Linked DNA regions of Stegostoma tigrinum. The protein of the gene in region 2 interacts with the protein of the main gene of each other region in a pairwise test. Links are inferred from orthologs where the notes say so. Each region holds a gene or a part of one and is shown on either strand. Other genes may lie near its edges. The genes, in order: phostensin-like, tfip11 and lmo4.

Region 1 (5,755 bases), on a different chromosome or scaffold from region 2:
GCCCTCTGTCTCCCGGGCGACCACTCCCCCACCCCCTCCTCCATAGCTGGCTCGGACAGGGAAGGCCGGAAGCCTGGTTTCCCGGGGGCCCACAGTGGGAGGCTGCGGCCCGCTCATGTTGCTGCTGGGCCCCCCCTGACTGGTGTCTGGATCTGGCCCGGGCTCGGTGAAGGGGGCCCTGTCCAGGCCTAGCTCAGGCGTCCCACCCTGTGGTCCAGGATCCCCAGTGCGTCTCTGGTCTGTTGCCGCACCAGCAGTAGCAACAGCAGGAAGGCAGGAAGCTGTAGGGGCCTGCTCTGCACAGGAAGAGGAAGCCACATTGACAGGCTGCTGTGGCCTGGAGGAGCCGAGAGTGTTTACATCGTTGGGGGAGGGTGGGTCGGGGAGGAGGACGGAGGCTTTGGCCTCCTCCTCCTCCTCCTCCCCCTGCTGCTGCTTGGAGGGTGCAGCCTGGCCATCAACCAGAGCCTGGGCCTCCCTGGGTTCAGCCTTGCCGTCCCTCACTATGCCGGGGCCTGGATCTGGATCCCACCTCCCGCTGCCCAAACAACCAGGCCTGAGGCGTCCTCCTCCCCCTCTTCCTCCTCCCCCTCCTCGTCCTCCCTCCCCAACCATCCCCTGGGACCCTGGCCTAGCGGGCTGGGCCTCCTCCTCATTGGCGGCTCGGCTGGGTGTCTCTGTCGCCAACCAGGCCTCGAAGCGGCTGCGGGAGGTGGAGACCGTGCGCGGAGGGGAGGTGGTGGGGGGAGAGCGGGACTGGGGCCTGCGTCCTTGGCGCGGGGCGTGAGGGCTCCTCGGTGGGCCAGAGGATGCCCCTGAGCGTCCCGGGCGCTCCAGGATGTTCTCGGTGCTGCGGGAGCGAGAAGGCCGTGCCGCAAGAGCCTTTGTCTCCTCCCCCACCCCGCCATCTCTGGTCGCCCAGGTGCGCCCCTGCTGGCCGAACCTGCACAGTAGCCGGCTGACCCGCCCACGTTTGGGGCCCTCCTCTCCCAACTCCGCTCGGCACTTCCCAAAGGAGTTCAGATCCTCCACACTCCTGCTCAAGGGGGAACGGAGGTCAGGCCGACATGCCCCCTGCTGGCCGGCCAGGCCATTCACACTCGGCAGCTTCTCACTGGTGCCCGGGAGCCTGGGCCCGGATTCAATGATGGTGATGTCGTCTGCCTGTATGATGGTCACCCCTGGGGTGTGACAGATCATCTCGGTCCCTGGGACACCCAGAGGGGCCTGCTCCAGCTCCGAACCTCCCTTCCTCTGCTTCTCCCGCTGGATAAAGTGATTCTGGCGCAGGGGCCCAATGTTCTCCCGCAGCACCACGCTGTCTGTCGCCGTGGCAACGCAGGCCTCAGGCTCTGTCCCATCAGTCCCAGCCTTGGCTGCAGAGCCCATCGGGCTAGACCCAGCCTGACCCTCGGCCTGTATTTCCAAAGACGATGACCCAGGGCACAGCCTGGCCCGCCTCCTCTCGATGATCTCCCTCTTCCAGGCCGGAATTCTGGCCAGCCTCTCCTGTTCTTCCTTCTCCTTGCGCCTTTCCTCTTCCTCATCCCTTCTCTTCCTCTCCAGCAGCTGAACCTTCCACTGAGGAGGAGACGTCATTGTGGAGTTTCAGCCCAGTCACTGGTGGAAAGTGAAGGGGTCAAGCCTGCCCCAGTTCTGGTCACTAAAACCTGCTCCACCCACCCACGACTGACTTCACCCCTGGGTCACCCTGTCTCACTGGGAAATCGACGGGGTCTCAAAGATGGTGACCTTCAGACAATGCCATATGGGACAGAGCAAGATCCAGATCTATGGCCAAACACCAAATCTTTCACCCTGAGACATTACAGACACTCAAAACACACACTCAATACTCAACTCGCACACTCAATACCCAACACTCAGACCCTCACACTCAATACCCAACACTCAGACACTCACAATCAGACCCTCACTCAATACCCAACACTCAGACTCTCACTCAATACCCAACACTCAGACCCTCACAATACCTAACACTCAGACCCTCACACTCAATACCCAACACTCAGACCCTCACACTCAATGCCCAACACTCAGACACTCACAATCAGACCCTCATTCAATACCCAACACTCAGACCCTCACTCAATACCCAACACTCAGACCCTCACTCAATACCCAACACTCAGACACTCACAATCAGACCCTCACTCAATACCCAACACTCAGACCTCAATCAATACCCAACACTCAGACCCTCACAATCAAACCGTCACTCAATACCCAACACTCAGACCCTCACTCAATACCCAACAGTCAGATCCTCACTCAATACCCAGCACTCAGACACTCACAATCAGACCCTCACTCAATACCCAACACTGAGACCTCACTCAATACCCAACACTCAGACCCTCACAATCAGACCGTCACTCAATACCCAACACTCAGACCCTCACAATCAAACCGTCACTCAATACCCAACACTCAGACCTCACTCAATACCCAACACTCAGACCCTCACTCAATACCCAACGCTCGGACTCTCACTATCAGACCCTCACATTCCATACCCTCAGACCCTGACACTCCGACCCTTGGGAGCACACAGCCAGCAGTTCACCCACCGAAGCCATGGTCAGGTACCCCTGCGCACCTCATGGGAACGCTCAGGTCCCCATCTGCCCCAGGATAGATCCCTCCTTCTCTCTGGATCAGGGAACTCCTTCTGTCCGTACCGGGATAAATCCTTTGACAGGGAAACTCCACGGTCTGTCCCAAGATAAATCTCTCTGTCAGGGATAAGCCTTTCTCTCGATCCTGGGAATAAGTCGCGCTCTCTGTTCTCGGGATACGGCCTCCTGTCTATCCCTACCTCCGTCCCGGGGATGACAGTCTATCCTGGGATAAATCTCTGTCTCTGTGCTCCCATGGGGTCGATTCCAGGCGGGAGGGAAGGCGATGGTGATGTCTCCCGGGTCAGACACTCCGCTGTCCCGGGACAGTGCTGGGTCCTGGGTGCCGCCCCGGCTTCCCGAACAAAAGGAGCGGCTCGGGGTGGGTGTTCCTGACCGCCCGGAGGCTGCGGATCCCGGGGCGCGGGGGGGGGACTCTCCCCGCTGGCGAGCTCTCGCTCGGGATTTGAAGCTGCCTGCGGTGGTGGGGTCCGACGGGGGATCCCGTAATCTCCCCGGGACTGGGAACCCGCTGCTGCTCACGGTGACTGAGTGTGTGTGTGTTCGAGAGAGAGAGAGAGCATCCGGGAGAGGGCAGGAAACAGAGAGAGAGAGAGAGAGAGAGAGAGACGGGGGAGGGAGAGAGAGTGTGGGGCTGGGACTAGGGGTGAATGGACAGAGAGGTAGAGAGAGCGCGAAGGCAGAGAAAATAAAGTGAGACTGAATGGAGAGAGAATAAAATAAAACGAGGAATGGAGACAGAAAGTAAATGACTGCAGAGGGTGGGAACAGGGAGAGACTTGTAGATTAGAGAGAGGGTCGTGGGGGAGAGAGAGAGAAGGGGGGAGAGGAAGGGTGAAGGGAGACAGTGGGTGGAAGAGAGTGAGAACAAGGTGGGATGGGAGAGAGGGGTTGGGGAAGAGAGAAAGGGGGAAGGGGGGAAGAGAGAAAGGGGGAAGGGGGGAAGGGGAGGGTTGGAGAGAGAGAAGGGGGCTGGGTGGGAGAGAGAGGGGGGTTGGGGGAAGACAGGGTGAGGGAGTGGGAGACAGAGAAAGGGGGTGGGGTGATAGGGAGATAAAGGGGGGAAGGAGAGGGAGTGAGTGGGGTGAGGAGTGTGTGGGGGGAGAGAGTGAGTGGGGGGATAGAGGGTTGGGGGAGAGAGTGAGTGGGGAACAGAGGGTTGGAGGTGGAGAGAGAGAGAGAGAGAGAAAGGAGGTGGGGAGAGAGAGAGAGGGTTGAGGGAATGGGAGTGTAATAAAGAAAGGCCGAGAAGGAAGACAGAATAAAGTGAGACCTGACCGAGAGAAAAATGAGGTGTAGAGAGAGAGACAGCAAATGAAAATAGAGAGGGGGAGCATGTAGACTAGGAAGGGAGGGGAATAGAGAGAGGAGGAATAGAAAGATGGAGATAGAGAACAGGAGAGGAGGGATAGAGAGGCGGGAGTGACAGAGTGAATGGAGCAAGAGTAAATAGAAAGAGGAAATAATGAGAGACAGTGAACAGAGAGACAGGGAATTGAGAAAGGGAGTAGAGAGAGTTACAGACAGAGAGGAAAGAGAAAGTGGAATGGGAAGAAGGAGTTAGAGAAAGGGTCAAGGGAGCAGGCAAAGGGAGGTGGGGAAAAGAGACAGAGAGAGGCACAGAGAGAATTTAGAGAAAGGAATAGGAAGAGGGAGTTAGCGAGCAGGAGAGGAGAGAGAAGATACAGTGAGGGAGAATATAGAGGGAGAGATAGAATGGGGAGATCAGGACTGTCCTCCTGTAGAATGAGAAGGCTTAGAGGAGATCCGATAGAATTGTTCAAAATCATGCAGGGGCTGGACAGCGTTGACAGAGAGAAACTGTACGATTTGTAAAAAGAGATCAAGAAAGACAGGGCACAGATTTGAAGTGACTGGCAGAACAAGCATATGTAAGCATTTGTGGGACGGAAGCACATTTTGAGTTGCATCTGAACTGCAAGTAGCTGGGGGAAACTGGTATTTATGCTGGAACCAAAGTGTGGGGGAGAGCGGAGGTGAGTGTATAGGTATAGATGGAGGTCAGAGAGATGGAGAAAGATATGACAGAGAAATGTAAACAAGAAGATAACAGATAGCTGGCCAGGACAGAAAAAAAGCTGAATAAGAGATCATGCAATCAAAGAGTGAGAACACAGGAGAGCTCTATTGAGAAGTGTACCCGATTGCTGCTCACCTGCAGATGCTGCCTGGCCTGCTGTATTCTTCCAGCGTCCTGTTTGTCTACCTTGGATTCCAGCATCTGCAGTATTTTATGTCTCTAACCATGGGCCTAGGATTACGTGAGAATGGGTGACCGGGCTAAAAGAAACCCATGCTGTCACAGGACTGGGTCTGGCAGTGGGTTAAAAAATGGAAGGCTGGAATCAGGCTCTAAACTTATTTAATTTGACGTTGAGCCCTAGAGGCTGCCGGGTCCCCAAGCAGAAAGAGAGATTTTTTTTTGAGCTTGCGCTGAGCTTCGCTAGAGCACTGCAGCAGGCCTGAGACAGAGCAGGCTAGAGAACACAGCTTGGAGTGGCAGGAAACTGGAAGCTCTGGGTCGTTTTTGCAGTCACCCAGGTCTACATTTTGTCTCCCTAGTGTAGAGGAGATCACATTGTGTGCGGTGAATGTGGTAGACTAGACTGACTGAAGTGGCTGGTAAATCACTGCTTCACCTGGAAGGTATGTCTGTGGCTTTGGATGGTGAGGAGCGAAGGAGTAAACAGGCAGGTGTTGCACTTATGCGGTTGCAGGCCAAGGTGCCATGGGGCTGTGGGGTGGGTGCGGTATTGGGACCGGAGGAGGAATGGACCAGGGTGTCCTGGAGGGAACTGTCCCTGCAAAATGCTTGCAGAGGAGGGGAGGTGAATGTGTTTCCAGTCTTGGCATCCTGTAGGAGGTGATGGAAACGTCAGCGGATGACGGAAAGTGAGCAGTAGGAGTTGTCTGAGGGAAGGGAAGGGACGGGGTGAGGGCGGAAGTGAGGGAGATGCGTCGAATATAGCCAAGGGTCCTGGCAACCATTGTATGGGGGGATCCGCTTAGTTGAGGAAAAGAAGGTGTATGTTATAAGATTGTGAATGGCATGGATAGAGTGGAAAGTGTGAGGC
Region 2 (5,755 bases):
GGGTAATCACAGGTTGAAGGAGATTGGATGGGGATGCGTTGGGAGGCAAAAATGGGGGAAATTGTGAGGGGTGATAAGGGAAGAGATAGAGAGATTCCTGGGAGGGCAGAAGGAAAAGTTGTGGGAGATTGTGGTGGGGGACAGGAAGAGACAGGGAGGTTGTGGGGTGAGGAACAGACTGTTAAAGGAGAGAGTGGGAGATTGTGGGGAGATAATATCATAATATGATAGAATTCATCCTCCATTTTGAGAGGAAGAAGGTGGAATCAGATGTAGCAATATTACAATTGAGAAAAGGTTACTACAAAGTCATAACAGAGGATCTGGCTACAGTAGTTTGGAAGGCATACCCAGCAGGGAAGACAGCACAGCAGTAATGGCAGAGGTTTCTCGGGGTAGTTCAGGAGAAATTCATCCTAAGGAAGGAGAAACATATTACAGGGAGGATGAGGCAAGCATAGCTGACAAGGGAAGTTAGGGACAATGCAAAAGTAAAAGAAAAAGCACACAACATGGTGAGGATTATTGGGAAGTCAGAGGGTTTAAAAGCCAGCAAAGTGCAAACAAAAAAGCAATAAGGGGGAGAAGATGAAATATGAGAGTAAGCTAGCTGGTAATATGAAAAAAAATTGAACAAGTTTTCTTTTAGATAAATAAGAAGTAAGTGAGGCAAGGGTGGACATTGGAATGCTGAAAAATGAGGCTGAGAAGGACTAATGAGAAACAAAGAAATCATGAACTTAATTGATGCTTTGCATCATTCTTCATGGATCATAACAAAACTTCAGAGTGTCAAGGGGCATGGTTGAGTGTAGTGGACATCAGTAAGGTGATGATGTTGGGGAAGCTGAACGGTCTGAAGGTGGATGAATCACCCAGAGTGGGTGGACCATATCCCAGAGTTCTGAAAGAGAGAGCTGAGAAGATTATGGAGACATTGGTGGTGATGATCTTTCAGGCATCACCTGTGTGACAGGTGGGCCCCAGAGGACTGGAAAATGGCTAATGTAACAAGTTGTTTAAGAAAAGACGGAGCCTGAAGATGGAGAATTATATGTCAGTTAGCCTGAGCTTGGTTGCTGGTAAGATTTTAGAGTCAATTACAAAGGAAAAGTTTGCAGAGAACTTGGAAGTGCATGATAAAGAAGAACTGAGTCAGCACTGCTTCAAGGGGAGGTCGTGCCTTACAATCTATTGCAATCCTTTGAGGAGGTAATAAACAAGTTTGATGAAGAAAAGCCGATGGATGTGGCCCATTTGGATATCCAGGAAACCTCTGACAAGCCGCTGCACAGGAGGCTGCTTTAAAAAAAAAGCCCATGGTGTTGGGGACAAGGTGTTGGCGTTGATAGAGGATTGGCTGATGGGCAGAAGGCACAGATCGGAATAAACGGATCTTTTTCTGGATGGTAGCCTGTAACTAGTGAAGTTCTACGGGGGGTCAATGTTACAACCACAACCATTCATTTTATAGATCAACAAACTGCATGTTTGAAAAAAAGCACAAGAATGGGTGGAGGGACGGGTAATGTTGATGAAGCAGGATTTCAACAAGCTAGGAGAGTGGCTGGAGAAGTGGCAAATGGAATACAATGTGGTAAAGAGTGAGGTTATCCACTTGAGTAGGAGCAATAGAAGCACGTACTATTTTCTAAATTGGGAAAGACTTCAGAAATCAAATGCACAAAGGCATTTGGGACTACTTGTCCGGGATTCTCTTAAGGTTAACATGCAGATTCATCTGGCAATTAGGAAGGCAAATGAAATGTTAGCATTCATGTCAAGCGGACTAGAATAAAAGAGCAGAGACGTACTGCAGATGCAGTGTAAGGCTCTAGTCAGGCACATTTGCAATATTGTGAGCAGTTTTGTGCCCTGTATTTAAGAAAGGATTCACTGCCATTGGAGGGCATTCAGAGGAGGTTTCCAAGCATGATCCTGGAGATGAAGAACTTGTCATAGAAGAAGTCGTTAAGGATTCTGGACCTGTACTCAACGCGTGAGAGGAGATCTCATTGAAACTTACAGAATACCGAGAGGCTTGGGCAAAGAGGTTGTGGAGATGATATTTCCTCTACTAGGAGAGACTAGGACCTGAGGGCACAGCTTCTAAGCAAAGGAACAACCCTGTAAAACTGAAACGAGGAGGAATTTCTTCAGCCAGGTGGTGAAACTGTGTTGGCTGAGTCATTGAGCGTATTAAGTCAGAGATAGTTAGGTTGTTGATTAGTAACGGGATCAGGGGTTGGGGGAGAAGGTGAGAGAACGGGGTTGAGACATATCGACCATGATCGGATGGTGGTGCAGACACGAATGGGCTGAACATCCGAATTAGATCTTATGGTCTAATGGAATTGGGGGGGGGGGGGGGCGGCGCGGAACAGGGGTTGTGTGCATATTACGGGGAACGGACTGTCAGGATTAGAGTACAGTGTCTCTCTCTCCCTCTCTCTCTCTCACACACACACACAGGCCGCTCTCCGGTTCTCTCAGTCGGCCTGGGTGCAGTTTAGGAATCGTCCAACAAAACGAACAGGAACAAAGTCCACAACCCAAACTCACCGCTTTCGGTTAATTCCAGCCACAAAGCCGCCGCCGCGCGCCCTCCGCCTCTCGGAGATAACTTTAAACCGATGTCTCACCAACGAACCACATCCGCCATCCTATGGTCCGTGCCCGGAACTCCGCTGTCGGGAAACACCGAGAGCGTACAATGGTTCCGGCCCGCGGTCAGGAAACAGAACCTGCAAAGGTGATGGTGTCAGTGGGAACAGTGAACCGAGAGGCACCGTGGGTCGTGTAAAACAGTTAAACGCTCTGAGGAACTGGGAAATTAAATAACCAGGAACAGACAGAAAGGAGGAATAAACACTCCATGTAATTTAAAAATCTTGTTTCTCTTCTTCCCAGAGGGAGCAGTTCTCAGAGTTTCCAGTTTTTGTTTTACACATCGTCCCAGCTGAGGCCCATAATCTCGAAACCTGTTGCCCCTGCACCAGATCTCAGCTTCCTCAGCAACAACACGGGCACACTGAAAGGATGCAGTTTGGTACGGCCCTTCTTCAAACTTAATTACAGAGAGAGATGTCTGCCTTACCAGCAGAAGGAGAATGGAAAACAATCAGAAAGAAAAAAGGAGTAAAGAAACGGAGAGAAAATGCCAGAGAGGTTCCCCACGCGGTGGAATATCCGAGTGTGGCTGAAGGGGAGAGAATGCAACAGAAAATAAAGGAAGCAGTGTAAGTTCACTGAATTGTCAGAACCCACCTCCTGCTGCTGCTGCGGGGTTGATCTGATGGATTTTGGTCCCGACATTTGTAGGGAAACACCTTCAGCCTCTCGCTCGTGCCAGACCAGAGATAACGTATCCAGAAACATCTGAGACGTGTGAGACGTGGAGCACACACATACGTCCACAGATTGCTGTGTGTTGGCGTAATAAAAAGGGGGGGAAATGTACTAAAATCCAACTTCAGGAGTCACTGAAAACGGAAGCCAATCTGAGTTAGGCACACAGCCAACACTACTCGATAAGGCAATTGATATGGACCTGGAAAGGTCTTCCCATGGATGCTGTACGACCTCCTGTGATCTCCAGCATTGGTTGTTTTCAGTACAGATTCCAGCATCTGCAGTAATTTGCTCCTAAGGCCTTGACAATTCTATTCTAATGAAGAGTCACTGAACTCGAGATGTTCATTCAGCCATCTCCGAACAGTTGCTTCCAGACCTGTTGAATTTTGCCAGCACTTTCAGTTTTTATTTCAAATCTCCAACATCTCCAGTTCTTTTATTCATTATTTTGACATTTACAACTGCCATGGTTGGCCAATACAATCTATGTGTTCAATCAAACCATTTCTCCTAGTCTATCATGATAGCATTTTCTATCACAATTACATTTATAGTGGTGAAATATTTCACTTTATGTTGAGATCTCAAGGTACATATTCAAGTAGATTTTTCAGATGTGACTCATCTGGCTTTTCAAGTTCACTTAAATGGTATGATTGGCCAGTATGCTCCCTCCTGTCCAGCTGAAATTCTGTCATTCCATTTTGAATACTTCAGTTAAGTCACAGCGTCATAATTAGGCATCCAAGTTAATAAATTGTGGAAGCGATTAAATGTACCTTAAGTGTTGGCTCATTCCTAACAGTTTCCTTTCTTTTTCATTCTCTACAAGATAAGTTTAAAATAATTTATTCACCTATTATTACAAGAAACAAGACATATGGTCAGACCTACTCTTTACTTGCTTTGTCCCTGTAAATTTGACACCTACAAAATAATCATAGCTTTCTGTGATGGAAAAACTAACCATTGAACTTTATTACAGAAAGGAACTGCAAAGTTCAGAATTCTGGATTGATTGCCTCGGTGAGTTGGTAGACTTAAGTTCTAACATGGGAATGTTTCTAGAATCAATTGTTCAGGATAGTATTCATCGTCACATGTGAAAATATTGATTAATTCAGAAAGGCCAGCGCGGATTTGTCAAAGGAAAATCATGTCTAGCTAGCTGAAGTGTTTGAAGAGGTGATAAAGAGAATTGATGAGGGCAATGTGGTCAATATTGTGTACATGGACTTGCAAAAAGAGTTCAATATAGTGCCACACAATAGACTTGTAAAACAAAAGTTGTAGTTTATGGAATAAAGAGAACTATAGCAATGTGGATATAAAATTGGCTAAGTGATAGGAAACAGAGTAATTGTTAGTGGATGTTTTTTGGGCTTGAGTAAGATGTATTGTGGAGTTCCCCAGGAGTCAGTGTTGGAATTCTTGCTTTTCCTGATATATGTAAGGGGTCTGAATCTTGAAGTGCAGGAGATAACTTCAAAGTTGGGAGCATTATAAACTGAGAGGAGGATAGCGTAGAATTTCAGGAGGAAAATTACAAGTTGGTGGAGTAGGCAGAGAGGTGAGAGACCTGCTGTATATGTACATAAGTCAATAAAGGTGACAGGTGGATGTTCAGAAAGCTAGTTCAGACATGCTGGACTGAATGACATGCACCTGAAACAATTCTGTAATTATCTATTTGCAATTTTTACGACATTCAGTTTGCTTCCTGAGATGGTAATTGTCACAATCTGTTTCAGAAACCTTTCAAAGAGTTGTGAATATGCATCATACAGATCAACTTGTATCTCCATCAAGTCCCTTCCCTACTGGGGAACCTCCAGATTACCTTGGACACAAAAAGAAAAATACAGATCATTATCGATATATGCTTAACTCGGTATGTTATGGAATCGGAAATTTTTCTACTTCCATGTCATCTCGTTATCAGCTGGCCCTGCTGTTCCTACTGCTAGAGACACTACAGGTAAGTGTAGTCAGGTGCTAATGTGTGAAGTGAATGGGGAGCTAAAGAGTCCATTGAGTAATGTTAGTTTGCATCATTCCTGAATGCTTAGAAACCATAGTTGTATTAACAAGTTGCTTTTCCATCTTTGATTCTGCTTGTCCCATTCTTCTTGCACGGTGTATCTTTCATTCAGCAAAAGTCTAGTGTTTTTGTACTTTTTTGTGGAAATAAATCAGTGACTCATAACTATGTTTAAAATGATAATTCTCTAAATCTATAAATCTGCAGATTTAGGAATGGACAGTGAAAAACATTCAAAACAAACATCTTCGAACAGGTAATACCACATAGCGAAATGTGAAAAGTTTTGCAACTGTGCTTCCTCGTATGATAAACTCAGTCTGAAATCATATTTTCAAAGCAAGCTGAAGGAGACATAAG
Region 3 (5,755 bases), on a different chromosome or scaffold from region 2:
TGCATTATGCCAGCAATACCACTTCATTATTTCTTCATTGACCCCGAGATGAAGGGGCGCTAAATGAATGTAAGTCTTTCTTTCTTTTTCTGTTAAATGAAATAGTATCCCCTTGTTATTTCAATGTCACGCCACACCTGCGCGTTTAAAGTAAACAACGCTTCTCAATAAGTAACCAGGCCTATATCTGGAAAATGACAAGGTTAAAAAATAACTCAGTTTGTAATCGATAAACAATCCCCTTCATAATGCCTTTCCCGACAGTTCCAAGGCGTGTGCATAAGTCCTTAATTCTTATATGTAGCGTTTAGTTCTTTAAAGTTTTTAGTTCTAAAGGATCAAAACGATTATTGGGTTGGATGATCAGCCATGATCATAATGAATGGTGGAACAGGCTTGAAGGGCCGAATGGTCTCCTATAGCTCCTGGTTTCTCCGGGACCCAATCATGGAGCTCCCTGAAACGCGTGTTACCACAACCTGGTTTGCTGCCAATTCCTGAGCTTCAATGAGTCCTGGTGCTTAACAAGTACTAATGCTCGATTAGCAAGAAGCCTGATTAGTAGTAACCACTGAGTACTATCTATTCAACATGAACAAATTCCTGTTAAAGCAACGCCAATTATGTGGTTTAAATTACATAACTTTAGGTATAATATTATTGTAAGTATGTACAACTGTAGCATATGATATTACTTATGGCATTTAAAGCAGCAAGCATTTTATTTATTATCTCTCTGTAGCTGGATTATTGAGTACATGATCAGTATTCTAGAAGGAATGTTTGTGTCCTGTCAGAATTAAGACCACCTGTACCTCTCCATATTCAACATTTCAAATATCAGCGGCTCATTAACAAGTTACTCTGCATCTTCGCCCTGCTGCTTTCTTTCAAACCCACACAGGTTCCAATCACAGAGCTCACAAAGGACCTTCAAAACAGAGGGGAAGAAAAACACCGCGGATGCTGGAAATCTGAAATAAAAACAAAAAGGACTGGATAAACTCACTAGGTCTGACAGCAACTGTATGGCGAGAGAAAGGAGTTAAATGTTGAGTCCGACAAGACACTCATAATTTGTCTATAATAATATTTTATATAATCAAATACGTGAAATATTTTATTATAACCATGCGTGTGATAATTTGTATAATCAAATCATATTTTCTGTAAAACTAAAATTACAAATACTTTGAAATAAATTTTACAAATTTTATAAATTTTACAAACACATTTTACTGTAATTATAGCAAGTTTTCGGAAATTTTATTTCATTAGAATCATATTTTAATTTATATAATTTTGTATCATATTTGTCAGCATATTTATTATGGAATAATATTTGCTTTACATAATCTATTTATGATGTATTTTGTATAATCTTACATATGAAATATTTTATGTAATCATAGATACTACTTATTTTAATAGAGTCAGAAGTCATACGACACCAGATTATTGTCCAGAGATAGTAGGAACTGCAGATGCTGGAGAATGGCCCAACAGGTTTATTTGAAATCGCAAGCTTTCGGAGCAGCGCTGGTGGATTATAATCTGATGTCGTGTGACTCCACACCGTTATTTTATAGAATCCTGTATGATATATTTTATAAGTCTATATATGCATGGAAGAGACATACTAGACTCGAAACGTTGACTATTTTTCGCTCTCTGCCTGATCTGCTGAGTATCTCCAGCACTTTCTGTTTTTATTACAGTTTCAAGGTTTGAGAATACTTGCTCCTCTCACACTTGAAGATGGAGGTTGAACAAGACTTTTCGTTTCACAGCTATGAGAATCACAGTGAGCTATAAGCTTTCTTTGTTACTTCGCGGGAACCGTTTGCTTGCGGAAGCGTTGTGAGTAAAGTGAAAACATCGTCGAGGCGAGGCATAGTCAATAGACTGTTCCCAATCACCACAGGCACCAACCTAACAGCAGCCCTTCCTTTTCGAAACAGAGATCTGGTTTAAATACAACTGATCCGCGGTTAATTACAAGAAGGTTGCAAGTTATAAATAATCTGGTTATTGCTGGTAAGATCCGGGCAGATAGTCTTTCAGTCAAAGGCAGAAGTCACATGGAGGGAGGTTACTGTAAATCACAACGTAGCTCTGCGATGTTATCACCGGCTGCACCGAGTGAATTATTGGCCTGTCATTCACCACCAAGAGCTGAAGCTAACCCCTCCAGGCCCTGGGAAAAAAATCCACGTGGAGAACCCGGGGATTTATGAGGGGAGTCACGGCCATCACTCACAGCCTAGCTACTAACCCATCAGCTAGCTCCGTCCATGGGTCACTGAGGCCGTTTGAGAACTCAGAAATGCCTGCAAGTGTCCGAAAGTCAGGGGGCGGAGGGTTCGAGGCTCCAGGCAGAGACGCTGACCAAAAGAGAGGTTTACTTCATTATAAAGTGGGTGGGTGTGTGTGCGCGCGTTTTGTTCACAGGTATTTGCAGTTTAGAAATTGACAGGGTTAACGAGGGTGCTAATGAGTGACAGTGATGCTTTATTGACCCAATTCCGTGGGATCTTTCTTTCCCCTCCCTCTGTGTCTCCGCTTTCTGCTCCTGTGATGAAACTGAGCCCGAATCAAAACCCACACACACAAAAACTCAAGTTACACTTTTGTCAATTATTGCACACTCTAAGGCCCGAAAGTAAAAACGCGATTATTTTCTGTTTGAGTTTCAGCGTCATTTAAGTTTGAGTTCGTCAAGTTTGACGAGAGTGTGGGCTCAAACTGAGGAAAATCTCAGGTATTCGTGGATTTTAATGTGAAACTCCAAACGCTACCCCCACCCTAACAATTAATGAACTATTGTCTCTCTCTCTCTGTCTCTCTCTCTCTCTCTACTGACTAGCAGATTTGTTCCAGTTTTCTAATTTCTCCTTAAATTCCACCCAGACCCGAGTTGCCAACCTATTCAGTGAAATGAATGATGTGAATAATACGGTTTTCACAATGGAATAATTAATTTGCTGAGACTATTAAAACAAGGGAGAATGATGAAGTGACTTGAATGCGAGCCTCGGAAGGGACTCATTGTTTGTCCTTTAATGAGCTTTTTGGTAAATGGCGGGGAAATATTGCCCTGCTCTCTGTAATATGATCGAGGTAAAAGTGTATTAAGAGTCGAAATCCCCCAGTGCAATGCGTTCGGAAAAGGCTCCCGCCCAGTATTGGCGAGGGTTTGAGTGTTTGCTTCAGTTCATAGATGATTAGAGTCCACACCACACACACACACACACACACACACACAAAATACCATGATATGGGCAGGTAGATTCTAATGAGCTGCCGAGTGATAAATTTCATAATTATTCTACCCACTGCTAACAGAAAATTCATCAGTCAAGGCAAATTAGTTCAGATTCATTAGAATAAGAAATCTAACGGGCACATATACTTTATTAGTTTACACCAATAGGTTTAATTAGCTACATATTTCACAGCTACAGTGCTGTTTCAGCCTGCTCTTAAGGAAGGGACTGCTTTATGTCTTTTATTTACAGTAACAAGCTATCAGGGCCCACGTTAACCCCGTCATTAATTCTGGAAACACGAGATAGGCTTGCTTTATCAACCAGAGACCCGTCAGGTCTTCGCTCAGTCTCTGAACTGGGCAAGTGTTATTTTCTCCTTCTCACACACCTTCGACCCTTCTATCCCTCCCAAATTAATTCTGCTGGCTAAACAAACACAGAGCGAAACAAGACAAACTCCAAAAACAGACACAAAGGACAACAAAACGCGCCAATTTTGTCAATAGTTTTTACAACAACATTAGCCCTTAAGGATTCGCCGCGCAGCTGTTCTGCGCTCTCAGTATGATCTGGATTCTGACGAGTTCATATATTTAATACTCTTACTAGTTGCAACTATGTCGTTTTAAGCCAATCAAATAGTAATTTAATGCAGGCTTTCATTTTCAAAGAATCTACTTACTTGTGTTTGCGAGTAATCTTCCTCAAAGTACCTCAGAGTCCGTCACACATCTTCAGCAGCAAATGACTAGCCTCACAATTTTCGCACTTGCTGGAGGGAGTGGCTGAAGAGTTGGCCCCTCCTGCTGGGAAGAGCTGGAACTTCACTGCTGATCATCAACTGGCTTCATAAGTTGCCAGAACTGACAATAGGCTACACTTGAACTGAACCAAAACACCGAGAAGGCTTAAGATATCAAGTTATGTTAAAAAAAGTATTCATTGAATGGCCTTATAATGTACAGATTCCAACTAGAATAGTGCCTTTTTAAAAAGCCTGCTTTCCATAAAAGTTTTTTGCAACTAGAGTGGGCTGTGAACATGTTTTTTGCACATTCATATCCAATGCCAGTAAAAAGATGCCTACCTTGTCATTTTAATGTCAGCCCTTGTTCAGGCGTAGTACTCCAAGATTTGGTGCTAAAGAAAGATGACTGTCCAGAGCCCGACTGAAAGTGTGTTTCACTCGGATTAGATGTCAAACCAAGCAGTTGGCTGTTCTTTCAGGTGGCAATTTAACACAATCTAATTTCCAAGAAGGGCTGGAGAATTTTCTGCTTTGTCATGGTATTATTTATTCCTCAGCTAATATTACACAAGGAAATGAATTATCCGAACATTACAAAGTCATGTGGATAGGTACATGAATGAGGAGGATTTAGAGGGATGTGGGCCAAATGCTGGCAAATGGGGCTAGATTAATTTAGGATGTCTGGCTGGCATGGATGAGTTGGACTGAAGGATCTGTTTCCATACTGTACATCTCTGTGGCTCTGTGGTCGTGATCAGTGAGCTGGTTGTGAGTGCTTGCTCTGCCAAATTTGGCAGCTTCAAGTTCTAAAGTACAATGATGTCTTCATTTGAAAAGTAGCTAATTGCTTATAATGTGGCATTTCAAGATCATAAAAACTGATACGTAAGTTCAAAGTTGGTGTTTTTTAACTAAATAGAAGGAGTTAGTCATAGGACTCGCAAACACCTTTAAACTGGATTTACATAGTGTTGGAATTGCACTCCAGTACATACCCTGATGTGAGGTTAGATCCATGACGTGTCTCGCAGCACACCCTTCTTGCTGCAAATTCTCAGTCATTGATCTCTGACATTGATGGTCAAACTAAAATTTACTGATGGTCTCGCTAAAGCTTTAACATTTAAAAATGCTTTGATAATATAAATGGTCAAAGGAGGAAAGATAACTCTGCCTTTATAATGTTCACAACAATTGCAAAACATTGTAGGTTAGGAGATATATAAATTGTATAATGTCTGCAGTTAAATTTTACTTTGAATAAGTTGCACAATTTCTATGAAATTGAATGATACCTTTTTTTAATATGGGTGTACCATGCTACATTATATACTCAATAGAAAACTATGAAGAAAGGTTCAAATATATTCAGTAAGATAAAAGTCAAAGCACAAAGCTTGCCAAACTTGGCAAGATATGGCAATTATGTTACGGTACAGGGTATATTTTACCTAGTGAAATCCTGACTTAAATCATAAACTGTTAAATCATATTGCTTTGAAGATGTAAGACCTTAATTCAATAACATAGTTTCATTTTATTTGTGAATTCATTGTGCCTATAGCAGCTAGATGTAAGAAAGTCTGACATGCTCAAAGATAAGAGAGTTGATCAAGGGACGGCAATATTCATGTAAAGGCTTGTGTTTCACCTGGTTAAGAAGCACTCATCTCATTTTTTACAATTGTCTGCTGGGGATAAATGGCATTAGAATGTATATTGCTACTTCGTTCTA

The links.
Region 1: the proteins of tfip11 (region 2) and phostensin-like interact in binary tests that used the Homo sapiens proteins (3 or more experiments, as listed by UniProt). The link is inferred for Stegostoma tigrinum from reciprocal best matches to the Homo sapiens genes TFIP11 and PPP1R18.
Region 3: the proteins of tfip11 (region 2) and lmo4 interact in binary tests that used the Homo sapiens proteins (3 or more experiments, as listed by UniProt). The two-hybrid records come from large-scale screens. The link is inferred for Stegostoma tigrinum from reciprocal best matches to the Homo sapiens genes TFIP11 and LMO4.

What each region holds. Positions count from the first base shown.
Region 1 is NC_081387.1:14,388,636-14,394,390, forward strand, and holds the start of phostensin-like, read right to left. Parts: upstream 3,492-5,755; 5' UTR 1,600-3,491; coding exon 1-1,599.
Region 2 is NC_081379.1:17,493,937-17,499,691, reverse strand, and holds the start of tfip11 (tuftelin-interacting protein 11), read right to left. Parts: upstream 3,390-5,755; 5' UTR 3,379-3,389; coding exon 3,268-3,378; intron 3,240-3,267; coding exon of another isoform or gene 3,085-3,239; exon of another isoform or gene 2,563-3,084; intron 1-2,562. Other genes in the region: srrd (SRR1-like protein), read left to right, coding at 3,085-3,239, 4,340-4,380, 5,106-5,332. UniProt on the Homo sapiens protein: Involved in pre-mRNA splicing, specifically in spliceosome disassembly during late-stage splicing events. Intron turnover seems to proceed through reactions in two lariat-intron associated complexes termed Intron Large (IL) and Intron Small (IS).
Region 3 is NC_081361.1:90,464,000-90,469,754, forward strand, and holds the start of lmo4 (LIM domain transcription factor LMO4), read right to left. Parts: upstream 4,043-5,755; 5' UTR 3,952-4,042; intron 1-3,951. UniProt on the Homo sapiens protein: Transcription cofactor. Plays a role in establishing motor neuron identity, in concert with MNX1, acting, at least in part, to disrupt LDB1-LHX3 complexes thereby negatively modulating interneuron genes in motor neurons.